Linked DNA regions of Stegostoma tigrinum. The protein of the gene in region 2 purifies or fractionates together with the protein of the main gene of each other region. This does not show direct contact. Links are inferred from orthologs where the notes say so. Each region holds a gene or a part of one and is shown on either strand. Other genes may lie near its edges.

Region 1 (7,607 bases), on a different chromosome or scaffold from region 2:
CTGGCAAATGTTTTCATGTTTCAAATTACAAAGTGAATAAGGAATTTCAGGACCACAAACTGTAGATCAATTAGAAAACCAATGAATTTATAATCTTTTTGCTTGTTTCATTCTCTGAATAAAAGAACTCACTTGTTTAAGACTTTGTTACTACTCAGGTCAACTACCAAGAGATTAATAAATTGGAAACTATTCATCCAATTAGCCCATATTTTACAAAAAGGAGAAAAAAGGTTAAACTTCCACTCTCCACGCAAGTCAATATTCCAAAGAAATGCTTTCCAGGTATTGTTGACACAAACAAACAGGTTCCCAGCACCTGATGTTAAGTTGTAGCAGCTGTCAAAAACTGTCACTACTTTCAAAAACAAAAAGACTAAAAACTACTAAATTGATTTTCTCCCATGATATCAATTTTGCTCATTTACCTCTTCAAACTCAAAACTCTTGGACTACCATAGCCTGGAAGCAAAGAGCATTCTGATCACACTAAAATGTAAAAACCTAAAAGTTACTGTACAGCATAAATTATTTAAAATAAACTAGATATAGAAACCCGAGCAGCATAGCTGTTGGTCACTGTTGTCCCTGAAGGATCCATCACTGGAAGTTAGAAGTCAATTTTTAAAATTTCTAATGTTGTTTAGTTCTCCACTTTATTGCAGCAGCTTGGGTTGAGTTTCCAGACTCAGTTTATAATTTCCTTTCAAATACTTCTCACGAATGGGAGTAAAAATGTTTCAGATCTCTTCAACGTATTTCAGAAACAGTAACTAAAAAAAGCATTCTTGCTGCTCAGCAGAGCTCACATTAAAAATTATGTTGAAGGAAGTGAAACAGAATCACAGTATTGTACTGGATTCAGGCAACACCAAGAGCTGTACATTTTAGAAAAGCCAACATGATAAAAGACTGATGTTCAGAAACAGCAAGCTAGTTCCAATATGGGACACTTATGCACTGCTTCAGTCTATGAGAAAACTAAAGTTCCCAGGCAATTGAAGATAGTGTCTAAATAGAACATAGAACATAGAACATAGAACAGTACAGCACAGAACAGGCCCTTCAGCCCACAATGTTGTGCCGACCATTGATCCTCATGTATGCACCCTCAAATTTCTGTGACCATATACATGTCCAGCAGTCTCTTAAATGACCTTGCTTCCACAACTGCTGCTGGCAACGCATTCCATGCTCTCACAACTCTCTGCGTAAAGAACCTGCCTCTGACATCCCCTCGATACTTTCCACCAACCAGCTTAAAACTATGACCCCTCGTGCTAGCCATTTCTGCCCTGGGAAATAGTCTCTGGCTATCAACTCTATCTATGCCTCTCATGATCTTGTATACCTCAGTTAGGTCCCCTCTCCTCCTCCTTTTCTCCAATGAAAAGAGACCGAGCTCAGTCAACCTCTCTTCATAAGATAAGCCCTCCAGTCCAGGCAGCATCCTGGTAAACCTCCTCTGAACCCTCTCCAAAGCATCCACTGATCCTCAGTGCTTTTCAGGGTCCTACCATTCATAATGTATTCCCATGCCAGTTACATCAAATTAGTGAAAGATGCTCTTTGGTCTGCCTGAAATCTGTTGGCCTTTCAGTACAAAGAGTTGTCCTCGGCTGCGTGTTGCATACATGTGCATTCCAAGGTCCAGGACCACATGCTGAGGGATGCACTAAGGCTTGCAGCTGCTGTCACCAAGATGCTGTGGAGAGGGTCGGTGTCTAAATTCTTTTTGGCATGCTGTACCAAGGGGCTGTCCATTTACTGGACCCATTGGGTTGTGTACTTAAATAGATATGTATAGTTCTTGTCAAATTCTGTGTCTGTTCCAATTTTGCATTTGGAATTAGGTAATAAGAGTATAAATGCTCGACTGCAAAATATGATATTTTGTTACATTTTCTGTTACATCCAATTTGAACTGATTTATAACCTACTTATAGATATTTTACAAATAAAGTATATTTTTGCAAAAAATATCGTACAAAGACAGAAGCAAGTTATTCTTTTAAACTTGCATATTATAAATGCACACACCATCCCTACAAAACAGTAAAAAGTACAAACAATAAAAAGTACAAACAATATACAAACAAACTCATTAGAAGTGTGATCAGATTACTCACTTAAAGACAACCACATGTTCTTGGGGTCTTGAGTGATCTGGTAAGCACCAAACCCAGCTGCACTCCCAAATAGTAGGCCAGCTGCTAGAGAAGGCACACTACCCGCTTTAATATAACCAAGACTACAGTTTAAATGCAATCAAATAAATCCGTTGTTGCATCAATAAAATTGACAAATATGCCAACTTGCTTAAAAATCACTGCAATAGTAAGAAAATTGCTGATTCACTATAACATCGACATGAGGTGAGCTGTAACTTCTGTCTTTAGTAGCTTTCAGATGTATAACCACAGTGACCACATCACAAGACGACCGCAAAAATGCGAGCCCCTGAGATTTAACCCCCGGCCCCTCCTACCACAAAGTCCCGACCAGCAAAATGCACTTCATTTTAAAAAATCTGGAGTAACTAAATAATTAACATGCACGCATCAATTCACCGAAAGTCCAATGGGCAAAATCAAGGCCAAGGGCGTTATCTGGGGCCTGGTACCGCAAGAAAACTAGACACTTTCCCCGAACAACACATACGGCAGCGGCACCAGCTTCAATCTCATTCTGTTCGGGTTAAAATTTAAACCCAGGAAGCAGGATGGCAGCGGCTGGGTCGGGACACGCTTTCATTTTTCACTCTGAGAATGTGGAAGGAAGTGCTTACAATCTAGGTGCTTCTTCTTGGGGCCCATAATCTCGTGTGTGGTGGCTTTACAAACGGTTTTAGAGACGGCCGAGCCGGTGACACTGTGCTGAGCCGCAGCAATACGGTCCGTGATACTCTGTCCCGACATCTTCCCTCCTCGGCAGCAGCAGATTCACGCACAGAGGGGGTTTAAATCCCTCTCACGGAGCCACCCCGGCCAAGCAAATCAAGAAGAAAGGTTAGAAATAAAAATACACACAACCAAAAACAAGAAAAAGTAAACTGAAAACCCAGGAAGGAAAAGCCCCGAGCGGACGGGCTGCTCCAAGCTTTTCTAATTTACAGGCGGTCACTTGGACAGCTGTCGCCACCCAGGGTTCAAATCCTCTTTCTTCCTCTGCCGAAAAGGAGCAGGAGTTCCAGGAAAATGGCGGGTTTGAACCAGGCTCCTACCCACTGGATTGTTATCATGTGATCATCCACCAACCTCGTACCAGTCTGAGCCCCATCAGCCAGTCCCAGAATTTTCCTCCCACAGCCCAGCCTGACACCACTGTTACTTCCAGCAAAATTTGCCCCTCCCTCCCTTGTCTGCCTCTGCCAGATGAGAGTCTTTTTTTCGTTTCCATTCGTGCATCTGGATTTATGCACATCTGTCTACACGTGTACAGTTTTTTTGCACACGATCAGCTTCGTGCAGAATACAGATCGCACACTGAAGATGATTGTCTTGAAGAGGCTTACCTTATTTTCGAGAACAAAATGATTAGCTGGTTGAATTTGTTTTCCATGTTAAGTAATTTTCAAATGTTTGCCTTTTATTCGTGGAATTAATTGACAGCTGAAATGGAATACTTAAACTCAGCAGCTAAGACGAGCGCAAATTTTGTTTCGAATGGAAAACATGTTTGTATTCAGAAATTAAAAGATTCGCAAATAAAATCATCCGTTGCGATTGTGAAAGCTTACACCCAATCAGATTTATGAAATTGCCTAAAAACTCGTTTAACAGTTTTTGAAACACTGGCTCTGTTAACAATTCTCAGACCAGAGCAGGGGTTTACAATTTTATTTTCCTTCTGAGCCACCCCCACCATCCTATTACATTTAAAAAAAAGTCCACTGATCACCTGTAACACAAGTGCGTCTTCTGTTTAGAAATTCAGACAAGTATTTCATCATTACTGTTGTTTTTCCTACACTTCGACTGATATCCTCCAATCTTTCCCACTTCTTGGCTAAGATTCTCTCTTAACAGTTGTACTAAGCAAAGATTCTTCATATAATTATACTTTCAATTTTAAAGTACTTTAAAATAACTGCTTTTTAAAATGTAAGTTATATGTACAATATTGGGCACACTTCCCAATAGAACAACTGGTGATAATTCAATTTGGGGTTGGGAAGAGTGAAATCTCACCCACAGATGGTAGTTTGGAGAATTCAGAATGGTAAAGATAACATGGACATGGAGAGAATTGTGCTTATAGAGTAACCTGATTACAACAACTGGCATCTTCTGATATCTGCCAACTCTGCTATTGTGTGGTTCAAATTAAGAGTATTTTGAGATGGTTCACTACCATCAATTCCCTTTGTCTATACTTCATCAAGGACCTATCAAATGATCACTGGTAGAGGTTATATCAGATGAAGTGTCCATGCAGAAGAGGCACCGTTCTTTGTTAACAAGCTGGTTTATTGCATGATAGTAATAAGTACAAGACCATAAGACGTAGGAGCAGAAGTAGGCTTTTCAGCTCATTGAGAATGCCCAAACTTTCAATAAACTCATGGATGATATGGTGATTCTCAGCTCTACTTTCTTTCCTGTTGCTCGTAGCCCTTGATTCCCTCTTGACCTTGCATATGTACATGAAACCTATTCAAGGAAGCCCCGAGGATGTTAGGGGTATCAGATTGAGAAAACCTACTCAAGAGATCCATTTCCCACAAATATGTATTTTCTACTAAAGGGCCTGGCATAGTTTATTTGAGCTTTGGCAGCCTAACACATACAGTAAAGAATGGTCAGGATCAAGCTGCAGGAACCCTGTGAACAATTGTAATTTCAACTATGGATATGGAAGCTAGGGAACCCTGGGAAATAAATACTGACATCTTGAAAAGCGTCCATTTTAAAGAAGAGAAGGTGCCGGAGGTCTTAAAAATGCATTAAGATAAATAAATCTTTGGGACCTGATCAGGTGTATCCCAGAACATGGTAGGAAGCTAGGGGAGAGATTGCTGGGACGTTTCCTGAGATACTCACATCATTGACAGCCACAGGTGAAGTGGCAGAAGACTGGAGGCTGGCTAATGTGGTGCCATTGCTTAAGAAAGGTGATAAGAAAAACCCAAGGAACTACAAGTCAGTGAGCCTCTTTTCAGTAGTGGATAAGTTGTGGGAGGGGATTCTGAGAAAAAGGATTTACGTGCACTTGAAAAGGCGAGGACTGATTACAGAGAGTCAGCATGGTTTTGTGCATGGGAAATCATATCTCACTAATGCTTAAGTTTTTTGAAAAGGTGATGAAGGTCAATGAAGGTAGAGCAGTACACATTGTTTACATGGACTTCAGCTAGACATTTGACAAGGTTCTGTGTGGTAGACTGATTAGCAAGGTTGGATCACATAGATTCCAGGAAAAGCTAGCCATCTGGATATAAAATTGGCTAGAAGTAGGAGACAGAGGCTGGTTGTAGAGGTTGTCTTTCAGACTGGAGGCCTGTGACTAACAGTATGCCGCAAGGGTCAGTGCTGGGTCTATTGCTTTTCATCATTTATTTAAATGATATGGGTGCAAATATACGAGAATGGTTTGCAGATTTGCTGATGATACCAAAATTGGTGGTGTAATGGAATGTGAAGAAGGTTACCTCAGAGTTCAAAGGGAGTTTGATTGGATGGGCCAATGAGCAGAGGAGTGGCAGATGGAGTTTAATTTAGATAAATGTGAGGTGTTGCAATTTGGTAAGGCAAACCAGGGCAGGACATACGCAGTTAATGGTTGGGCCCTATGGAGTGTCGCTGAACAAACATACCTAGGAATGCAGGTGCAAAGTTCCTTGAAAGTGGAGTCGCAGGTAGACAGGGTAGGAAATAAGGTGTTTGGCACGTTTGTCTTTATTGTTCAGCGCATTGAGTATAGGAGCTGGGACATCATGTTGCAGCTGTACGGAACATTGATTAGGCCATCTCTAGAATATTGTATTCGATTCTGCTTTCCCTTTCACAGGAAGGTTGCTGTCAAATTTGAAATGGTTCAGAAAGGATTTGAGAATGTTTACAGGATTGATGGGCTTGAACTATAGGGAGAAGCTGATTCTTTTCCTCTAGAGCATTGGAGGCTGAGGAGTGATGTTACAAAGGTTTATAAAATCATGAAGGGCATAGTTAGGGTGAACAGCCAAGGTCTTTTTCCTCGGGTAGGGGAGTCCAAAACTAGAGGGCATAGGTTTAAGGTGAGAGGGGAAATATTTAAAGAGAACCTGAAGGGCAAATTGTTCATGCAGAGGATGGTGCATGTATGGAATGATTTGCTAGAGGAAGTGGTGGAGACAGATACAATTACAACATTTAAAAGGCATCTGGATGGATAAATGAACATAAAGGCTTTAGAGGGGTTTGGGCCAAATTCCAGCAAATTGGACAAGATCAGAATAGGACATCTGGTTGGCATGGATGAGTTGGACGAAGGGTTTGTTTCTCTAGTGTGTAACTCTAGCACTCTACAACTCTATGGTAACTATCAACTTGTGAGTGTAAGATGTAAGAATAAAGAGTTTGAGTGTTTTCAGCCAAAACATAGCAAGGAGATAACATTTCCCAGATTTCCACCATATGATGGTGTGTCAGTATCCAACCAAGGTGGTTCATTCCATGTACCATTAAGAAAAATGAGTACACTGGGTGCAATAACTCCACAGAAGCTGGTATCCCCCATCACTAAGTGACCCTTTATTTCCACATGCATAGTGCTTGACACTGATATGACTTCCTCAGGGCCAGCTCTCAGACTGAACAGAACCTCTGACACTCCTGCTTATATTTGTCAGCGAAGGATCCCTGATTGGACCAGACTAACAGCCCCAATGAGGGAACTCATATTCTATGAGTTCACATCTGGCTGACCTTGTTATAATCACTACAGTGGGCATTTCAAAGGATTTGGATGCTGATAATTTTCTGGCTGTAGCAATAAAGACATATGCATTATATCCATCCACTTTGGTCAAACTATGCCAGTATTACGATGACAAAACATTTGTCTCAGAACATGAAGTGTTAATCATGTATGCCTTATCCATAAAAACAGGATAAATATTAAATGCCAGTTATCGCCTCTCAACCTTTTCCCAATTGTCAGTAAAGTGATGGAAGCAGTCATCAATAATGTCATCAAAAGTCATAAATGAAACTGATCACGTTTAGTTCAAGTTTCACCAGAATCATTTAGCCCTCTCATCTCTGCTCTGATTATTACGTGGTCCACAATTTCAAACTAGGTGGAAGGATGACTTTGATGAAGCAGAAGTGCACAACATGCCCACTCCTGCACAGTTGCCTAGTCCTTCCATGATCAAGGAACAGTCGGTAAATTAGTGCCAACTGTTGGGAGTGCCAACAAATTTTGGCAGTAACACAGCAGAAATTCACCAAGAACAGGTATCTTTTTTTTAAAGCAGCAGCACAGGACAATGGAGAGGCTACATCAGTAATGCATCATGCCCAGTGGCTGTCATTAAATATCTGCTACAGACAGAGGGCCTATCACCATTCTTGCTAATCCCAGTTTTCCTGAGGCACTCACCATGACTGTTGAGTGTACATTCA
Region 2 (7,763 bases):
CCGTAGCAGACATACAGGCACTCACAAGGGAGCAATGTGTTGTCGTCCATTTCTCACTGCCAGTAAAACTCCTGTCTTCTGGTCCAAACCCGCATTATCATTGATTTCTAAGCCAACAGTACTGTCTTTCATTCCCTGTCAGGCGTGTTTTTATTGGCACTGCCAACAGCATTTTCTATGCTAGGCTGTAATTCTCCAAGTGTGTGGGGACTGTATGGTACTTGGAAGGTGAAAGCCTTACCAACTGAGAAACCAATATTTCACAGGGAGACGATGATGTGGTAATTCAGAACCCTGGATTAATATTTAGTGACGTGGGGCCATGACAGATGGTGAAGTATGAATTCAGTTTAAAGAAGTCTGGAATAAAACGCTAGCCTAATGGTGATCACTGTGATTGTTGTAAGAAAAGATCTGATTCACTAAAATCCATTAGGGAAGGAAACTGGCCATCCTTACCTGGTCTGGCTTACGTATGACTCTTGGAATTCTCTCCCTCAGGGCATTGTGGATTGCAACACTTCAAGAAGGTAGCTTATCACACCTTCTCAAGGGCACACAAGAGAGTCAATAAAATGCTGGTTAGTTAGTGATTGTCCACATCCCACAAGTGAATTTCATTTTTAAAAAATCCCATGGCAACATGGTTGACCTAACTGTCATCTGTGCAATAAATGTGCCCCGAGCCAGCAATGCACACAAACCATGAACAACCTTTTTTAAAAATTGTGATCAATGGATGCTGATCATGAAATTATAACTCACCTGATCTTACCCAGTTTGGACAATGATAATTTCTAAGACCTGGTCGGGGTAATTAAGTGGATTTAATAAGCTAAATCAAAGCAACCTGGAAGTTAGGGTGCGTGTGGCTTAGTACAGCATCAGTCTTCAATCTCCAGGTCAGTTTTTTCCTGTAGCAGGACCTCCAACTAATTTTCATGCCATTTATAAAGAAAACACTTACATTTAATAGCTTTTATATTTATTTGTTCTCTTTTTTTGTTGATCCTGCTGGTGTGTTGTCAGAAAACAGTAAAATCTCAAGTTTTTTTCATTATTATTCTTTGCCATAAAAAGCTTTCAATGCAGAAGATTGTCCTGCCAAGCAGAAACCCTGAAGATTGATGTGAGAATTGGAAAGAATTAGATGGGTTTAAGGCAGTTACTGCTTGCAAAATAATCAGAGACAGCATTTTGAATTTGTATTATTTTGAGTGTACAAAAATGTACTTCCATAGAATTATAGGTTCAGCTGACTTTTTTCAGACTTGACTGTGCTGATGCTGAAGCTCATCAATTTTGCTACTTGTAGACATGATTATTCCAATGCACTCTGGCTGTAAACTTGAGACCATGCTAAACTCCCCTTAGAACAAATCCCGTTCTCCTATCACCTCTATGCCTTCTGACATACATTAGCTCTAAATCAAGCAACACTTTAATTTTAAAAATCTCATCCTTGTTATCAAGTCTCTCCATGGTCTTGCCCTTCCTATTGTAACAATCACCTCCAGCCCCATAACCCTCCTGGATATCTGCAGTCAACTAATTCTGGGCTTAAGCAACCTAGATTTTGCTTTCTCCACCTTGGATGGCCATGTCTGTCAGCAGTCTACTCCATAAACTCTGGAAATCCTTCCCAACATGTCTCCAAATTTCTAAATTTATTTTCTCCTTTAAGACACTCCTTTAAACCTATCTCTTTGACTAAACACGTTCTCATCCACCCCAATGTAGCCTCATGTGATTCATTATCCAGATTTGACTTTATAAAGCTGCTGCGAGCATCTTGAGATCTGTTATTATGTCAAAGGTGCTATTATAAATAGAAGTTGTTGCTGACTATCTTCAGTGCTTAGTGGGATTTTGATAATTTAGCAGGTCGAGTGTTACACTAACATTTTGACGGGAGGCTTGATGATCAATGTTTCGGCCTATTAATTTTTAGGTCTATTTAACTTTGAAATACGTCATCCAAGGGCATGGGTGTACGATATCTTTTTCAAAACTGTATGATCCCATACAACTGCTCAAATACAATGATCAGTTCATTTTCATAACTTTCATTATTAGCTAAACCATGGGTTCAATCTCTAAGAATGCATTAGCAGTAAAGTAGTACCTGCAAGATATTTGAATTGAGTTTAGACTCTTTGAGATGCAGGTGCTAAAATTGTGGTAACTTAAAGTACGAGTGTTATATAATAAAAATGAATGGACTTGATTTTGAAACTTTCTTTATGAGAATGGAACCAAAGATGACTAATGTCCCACTACCTTATCAGTTTTTCTCACTGTCTCCTCTGAAAATGGAAAATTACAAGCCTATTAGCCTAACCTCAGTCATGGGTAAGATTTTGGAGTCCATTGTGAAGGATAAGATTTCTGAATATTTGGAAGTGAATAGTAAAACAGGGCAAAGTCAGCATGGTTTCATCAAGGGGAGGTCATGCCTTACAAATCTGCTAGAATTCTTTGAGGAAGTAACGAGCAGGGTAGACCAAGGAGCGCCAATAGATGTTTTCCACCTGGACCTCCAGAAAGCCTTTGACAAGGTGCCGCACAGGAGACTGCTGAGTAAGATAAGGGCCCATGGTGTTACAGCCAAGGTGCTAGCATGGACAGAAGTTTGGCTGTCTGGCAGAAAGCAGAGAGTGAGGATAAAGGGGTCTTCCTCAGGATGGCAGCCAGTGACAAGTGGTGTTCCACAAGGGTCAGTGTTGGGACCACAACTTTTCACTTTATGCATTAATGATCTAGATGGAGGAACTGTGGGCATTCTGGCTAAGTTTGTAGATGATACAAAGATAGGTGGAGGTACAGGTAGTATGGAAGGAGGTGGGGAGGCTGCAGATGGATTTGGACAGGTCAGGAGAGTGGGAAAAGAAGTGGCAGATGGGGTACAACGTGAGAAAGTATAAGGTCATGCACATTGGTAAGAAGAATACAACCATGTACTATTTTCTAAATGGGGAGAAAATTCAGAAGTCTGAAGTACAAAGAGGCTTGAGAGTTCTAGTCCAGGATTCTCTCAAGGTAAACTTCAGGATGAGTCAGTATCAAGAAGGCAAGTGCAATGTTGGCATTTATTGTGAGACAAAATGAATGTAAAAGCAGGAATGTACTATTGAGGCTTTATTAGGCCCTAGTCAGGCCACATTTGCAGTATTATGTGTAGTTTTGTGCCCCATATCTCATGCAGAATGTACTGGCCCTGGAGTGGGCTCAGAGGAGATTTTTGAGAATGGTCCTAGAAATAAGAAGCTTAACATATGAGGAATGTTTGAGGACTCTGGGACTATACTCATTGGAGTTTAGAAGGATGAGGGGGGATCTAATGGAAACTTAGAGATTACTTAATGGCCTGGACAGAGTGGATGTTGGGAAGATATTTCCATTGGTAGGAGAGACTAGGACCCGAGGGCACAGCCTTAGAGTAAAGGGAAAACTTTTTAGAATGGAGAGAAGGAGAAACGTCTTCTGACAGAGCGTGGTGAATCTATGGAATTCCCTGCCACGGAAGGCTGTGGAGGCCAGGTCATTGAGTACATTTAAGACTGAGACAGATAGGTTGTTGAATATCAAGGGGATTAAGGGTTACAGGGAGAAAGCGGAAGAATGGGGTTGAGGAACGTATCAGCCAAGATTGAATGGTGGAGCAGACTTGATGGGCCGACTGGTATAATTTCTGCTCCTATGTCTTATGGTCTTAAGACATTGATACCTTATTTACATACAATTTCACTGCCACCTGCTTCTTCTGAAGTGGAATGCAATTCATCTTAATCATTATTCTAATGAAAGGTATTATAATTATAAATTAATTGCAATATAAATAATTGTGTTAACAATATGAATATTATACATAAAATATTATAGAAATTCTTAACTTATAATTAAAATAATATTGCCTTTCGTCAGAATAATGACCGTGTAGGAAAGGTGTTGGGTACTATAAGGTAAAGTATGATATAAAATGTATAAAATATACTTACAAACTATTTAAAATAATTATTTTAATTCTAAAAATGTAGGGGCGTTTGAATGGTGTAACATAATTACAGACAAAGCTACAAGGAACAGAAGACAAAAATCTTCTGCACGGTCCCCTGATTTCTCAATTATTAATATGGGGATCAAACAGAATTGTTGTTACGTTTACCCTTAAGAATAAGCCAAGAGTATTTTCAATCCATTTTATAAATAACATTGTTACCTTCCGCCCCCACTATCTTGCATGCAGCGTACGTGGACGTTGTTTCACAAGCTGTTAGCTGCCCCTGTACCACCCTGCAGTTGGCAGCATTGACCGTCAGAGCTGGGCTGACAGTCAGTCAGCCAGCCGTCTTACGTTTCCCAGCATGCACACAGACTGTGTGCTGCTGCCTGTGAGTTGTTACTGAGTCCGGACACGATCGGGATCGGGACTGGCGGGGGGGTCACACAGGAGCTGCCCATTCAAACACTCAGGATCAGCGCTCAGCAGAATCCCTTGTCCGGGTGTCCACCATGAACACCATCAGACAGGTCCCGGCCAAGGTGCTGCACCGCCGCTCCGTGCACAGTCTGGAGGCAGAAAGAGAGCAGTTTGACAGGCAGCAGGTAAAGCAAGTCATGTATACATATATATTATCTATGTATCAGTGCTATTGAACCAGTGAACCTCAGCACTCCTTACTGTTCTGCTCTTTACTCAGCTTTGGCGTTGGTTCACGATCTCTTTCTTCATATCGTTTTCATTTTACTTTGAAAACCTTTTGTTTTATTTTGGCTGTGGGAATACGAAGCTGAGTTCTTAATCAGCGCCTATCCAGGAAGTGCAGGACCTTATTACGACCCAGATAGCAACTGAATGCATTCCGTTTTAAGATGGATTTTGCCCATTGTACAATCGCTGGGTCCTAATCATGAATGGCACGAATCGGCTGAAAGTGACACTAAGCAGCGACTGAAACAGACAGCGCGGCTTGTTTATTCCGATCGATTTCCGTAAACCTTGATTCGACATGGCGAGAGAACCCCTCCCCCCAGTATTTACACCTTTGATCCTGCAAATAATGACCTACACGTAATTCCCGGAATTCTGCTTTTTTTTCGAATCTATTTGCCCGGATTCGAGACCAACTGCGTTCAAGATCTTTGCATTTAAAATAAGCAGCCGACTATCCCCTCTAACCCGAGATGCTGCCCACCCATCTCCGCAGTAACACGGGCCTCGTTTATTTCCCCTATTATGTTGCTTAATTGGGACGGAATTAATTCTAGGAGCGACTGATGAAAGTAGATCAACTCAGATTTGCTTATTACCCTGTGGCTCGCTCGCTCACCAGACACTTTTTTTTCTAAAGCAGAGCCTACTCATTCTATGTTAGCATATGTCTCTATTATGAGTAAAGGCAATTGTTGCTGTATTGAGGTACACTGCTTTTTCTTTAAACTGGGTTGATAGCCAACGCTCTCGATCTTGCACTGGGAAATTGAAGATCTGGACTTGACCTGTCATTGAATTAATATTCAAAATGTAAAGAGCATTTTTGAACAATATAACTGGCTCTTAAAGGTCAAAGGCAGTCTACTGGGTCTAATACTGGATCGTTCTTAATGAAGAAACATAAATGCACTAAACCGGCCAGTTAGAAAGAATCTGGGAAAACGTGTTGATGAGCTTCTGTCACAGCCTCTGGTGTACGATGTCCATGTTGTGAAAGGAATAGAAATCGAACCGTGGCCTTTTTTTCCATATTTTTGACTCCCCTGTGCCCTGTGCCCTCTGACCTCTGGAGTTTTGTTTTCCGCCGATTTTTCTCCGTTCGCGTTTTCCTGAAGCTGCTTCTAGCTGAGGTGATAGGTGGGTGTCAGCCTTCTTTGTTTCTTTTTACGTTGGAGCTTAAACGTAGGTGTTAGTAACTGTTCAACTGTGGGCAGTTAAGCTGAGCGAAAACTGTTGTCTCACAATGTCTATGCAAACACGTTTATCAATGGAGTCGCTGAGATTCTAGATGTTCTACAATAATGCCATGCCTTGCCCTAACTGCAGATCCATAAGGGATAAGGGAATTGAGCACAGATTGGGAATCAAAGTTAGTATCAATACAACCTTATGTTGTTTACTCACTAGGCTGATGGAGTCTAAACTTGCCATATTATCCTCTGAACTTTAATAGATTTGTCAGTTTAGAAAGAATTCTTGATGTTGTTGTCTAATTGGTGGATACTTTGAAAACCTGTTGTGTCTGTAACGTGAAGTGTACATAGATTAATGGCATATTAGTTTAGTTTTTATATGTGGCTTTTGTCGTATAAAAAGCTGGTGAAGGTCAAATGCCTGTGCATTAAGCTATCTGGCTCTATTCTGTTGTTCTAAAGCTCTGAACACAGAATTAGTGACTGAGGAAGATAACTTCCATTACAACATCGTCACTGTGTATGATATTGCAGGACAACCATGGTAGTCTCTATTTTCTGTAGAGATTTGAGGGGACTGGTGTAGAAGCCTTTTTTTTAAATGGCTGGGACTTGCTGTTAATGCATTGGTGTGGCACTATATAGAATAAAATCCACGATATGTCACATTATCTACCATGATTTCTCTATTATGTGGTCCACCGATTAACCTTGGGTACAACAGTTGTACTCATTCAATATTGACAATTTTAGTCCTGAAACCAATGAAAATGAAGCCTGCCATGTTGCTCTTGCATAGCAAATAAAGGATATTAACGGTGTATTTATCATGATGCCTATTGCAAAGATTTTATAAGAAAGAAATTGATTTTAACATAACAGTGAACAAACAATATTGGATCTGGTGCAGAGTAACAGACCAGAGCAATCTAACCATAAGGAAGCACACAAGTGATTTAAAATAGGATTGAGTTTGACATTGTGTGTGAAAGGAAGAAGCACAAACTAATGGTTTAAATTTGAAGGTATGTTTTAAAGGGGTGACTGATAAATTAACTGACTAAACAATTAATGGACAAACCTACATGCAACCAATGGGGAAAAATTCAAAATATGTTTGGTATGATACAAAACCAATACATGTCTCTGAAAGTATGTGAGGTTTTACAAACATTGTCAACAAATGAGAAAATAAAGTGTGCCAAGCTTAAGAACACCTTTTGGCAAGTGCAAGTAATGTGGAAATCCAACCAATAGTTGAAGGTAACAAAGGGGCAAAAGGATAAATAGAACATAGAACAGTACAGCACAGGACAGGCCCTTCAGCCCACGATGTTGTGCCGACCATTGATCCTCATGTATGCACCCTCAAATTTCTGTGACCATATACATGTCCAGCAGTCTCTTAAATGACCCCAATGACCTTGCTTCCACAACTGCTGCTGGCAACGCATTCCATGCTCTCACAACTCTCTGCGTAAAGAACCCGCCTCTGACATCCCCTCCATACTTTCCTCCAACCAGCTTAAAACTATGACCCCCTCGTGCCAGCCATTTCTGCCCTGGGAAATAGTCTCTGGCTATCAACTCTATCTATGCCTCTCATTATCTTCTATACCTCAATTAGGTCCCCTCTCCTCCTCCTTTTCTCCAATGAAAAGAGACCGAGCTCAGTCAACCTGTCTTCATAAGACAAGCCCTGCAGTCCAGGCAGCATCCTGGTAAACATCCTCTGAACCCTCTCCAAAGCATCTGCATCTTTCCTATAATGGGGCGACCAGAACTGGACACAGTATTCCAAGTGCGGTCTAACCAAAGTTTTATAGAGCTGCAACAAGATCTCACGACTCTTAAAC

What was found. The genes of interacting proteins can lie anywhere in the genome.
Region 1: the proteins of huntingtin-interacting protein 1-related protein-like (region 2) and picalma fractionate together in Homo sapiens (co-fractionation; 3 studies listed by BioGRID and IntAct, with this or other methods). This does not show direct contact. The link is inferred for Stegostoma tigrinum from reciprocal best matches to the Homo sapiens genes HIP1R and PICALM.

The regions. Positions count from the first base shown.
Region 1 is NC_081359.1:53,569,529-53,577,135, reverse strand, and holds the start of picalma (phosphatidylinositol binding clathrin assembly protein a), read right to left. Parts: upstream 3,392-7,607; 5' UTR 2,919-3,391; coding exon 2,789-2,918; intron 2,214-2,788; coding exon 2,130-2,213; intron 1-2,129. UniProt on the Homo sapiens protein: Cytoplasmic adapter protein that plays a critical role in clathrin-mediated endocytosis which is important in processes such as internalization of cell receptors, synaptic transmission or removal of apoptotic cells.
Region 2 is NC_081379.1:26,516,658-26,524,420, forward strand, and holds the start of huntingtin-interacting protein 1-related protein-like, read left to right. Parts: upstream 1-4,280; 5' UTR 4,281-4,512; coding exon 4,513-4,605; intron 4,606-7,763. UniProt on the Homo sapiens protein: Component of clathrin-coated pits and vesicles, that may link the endocytic machinery to the actin cytoskeleton. Binds 3-phosphoinositides (via ENTH domain).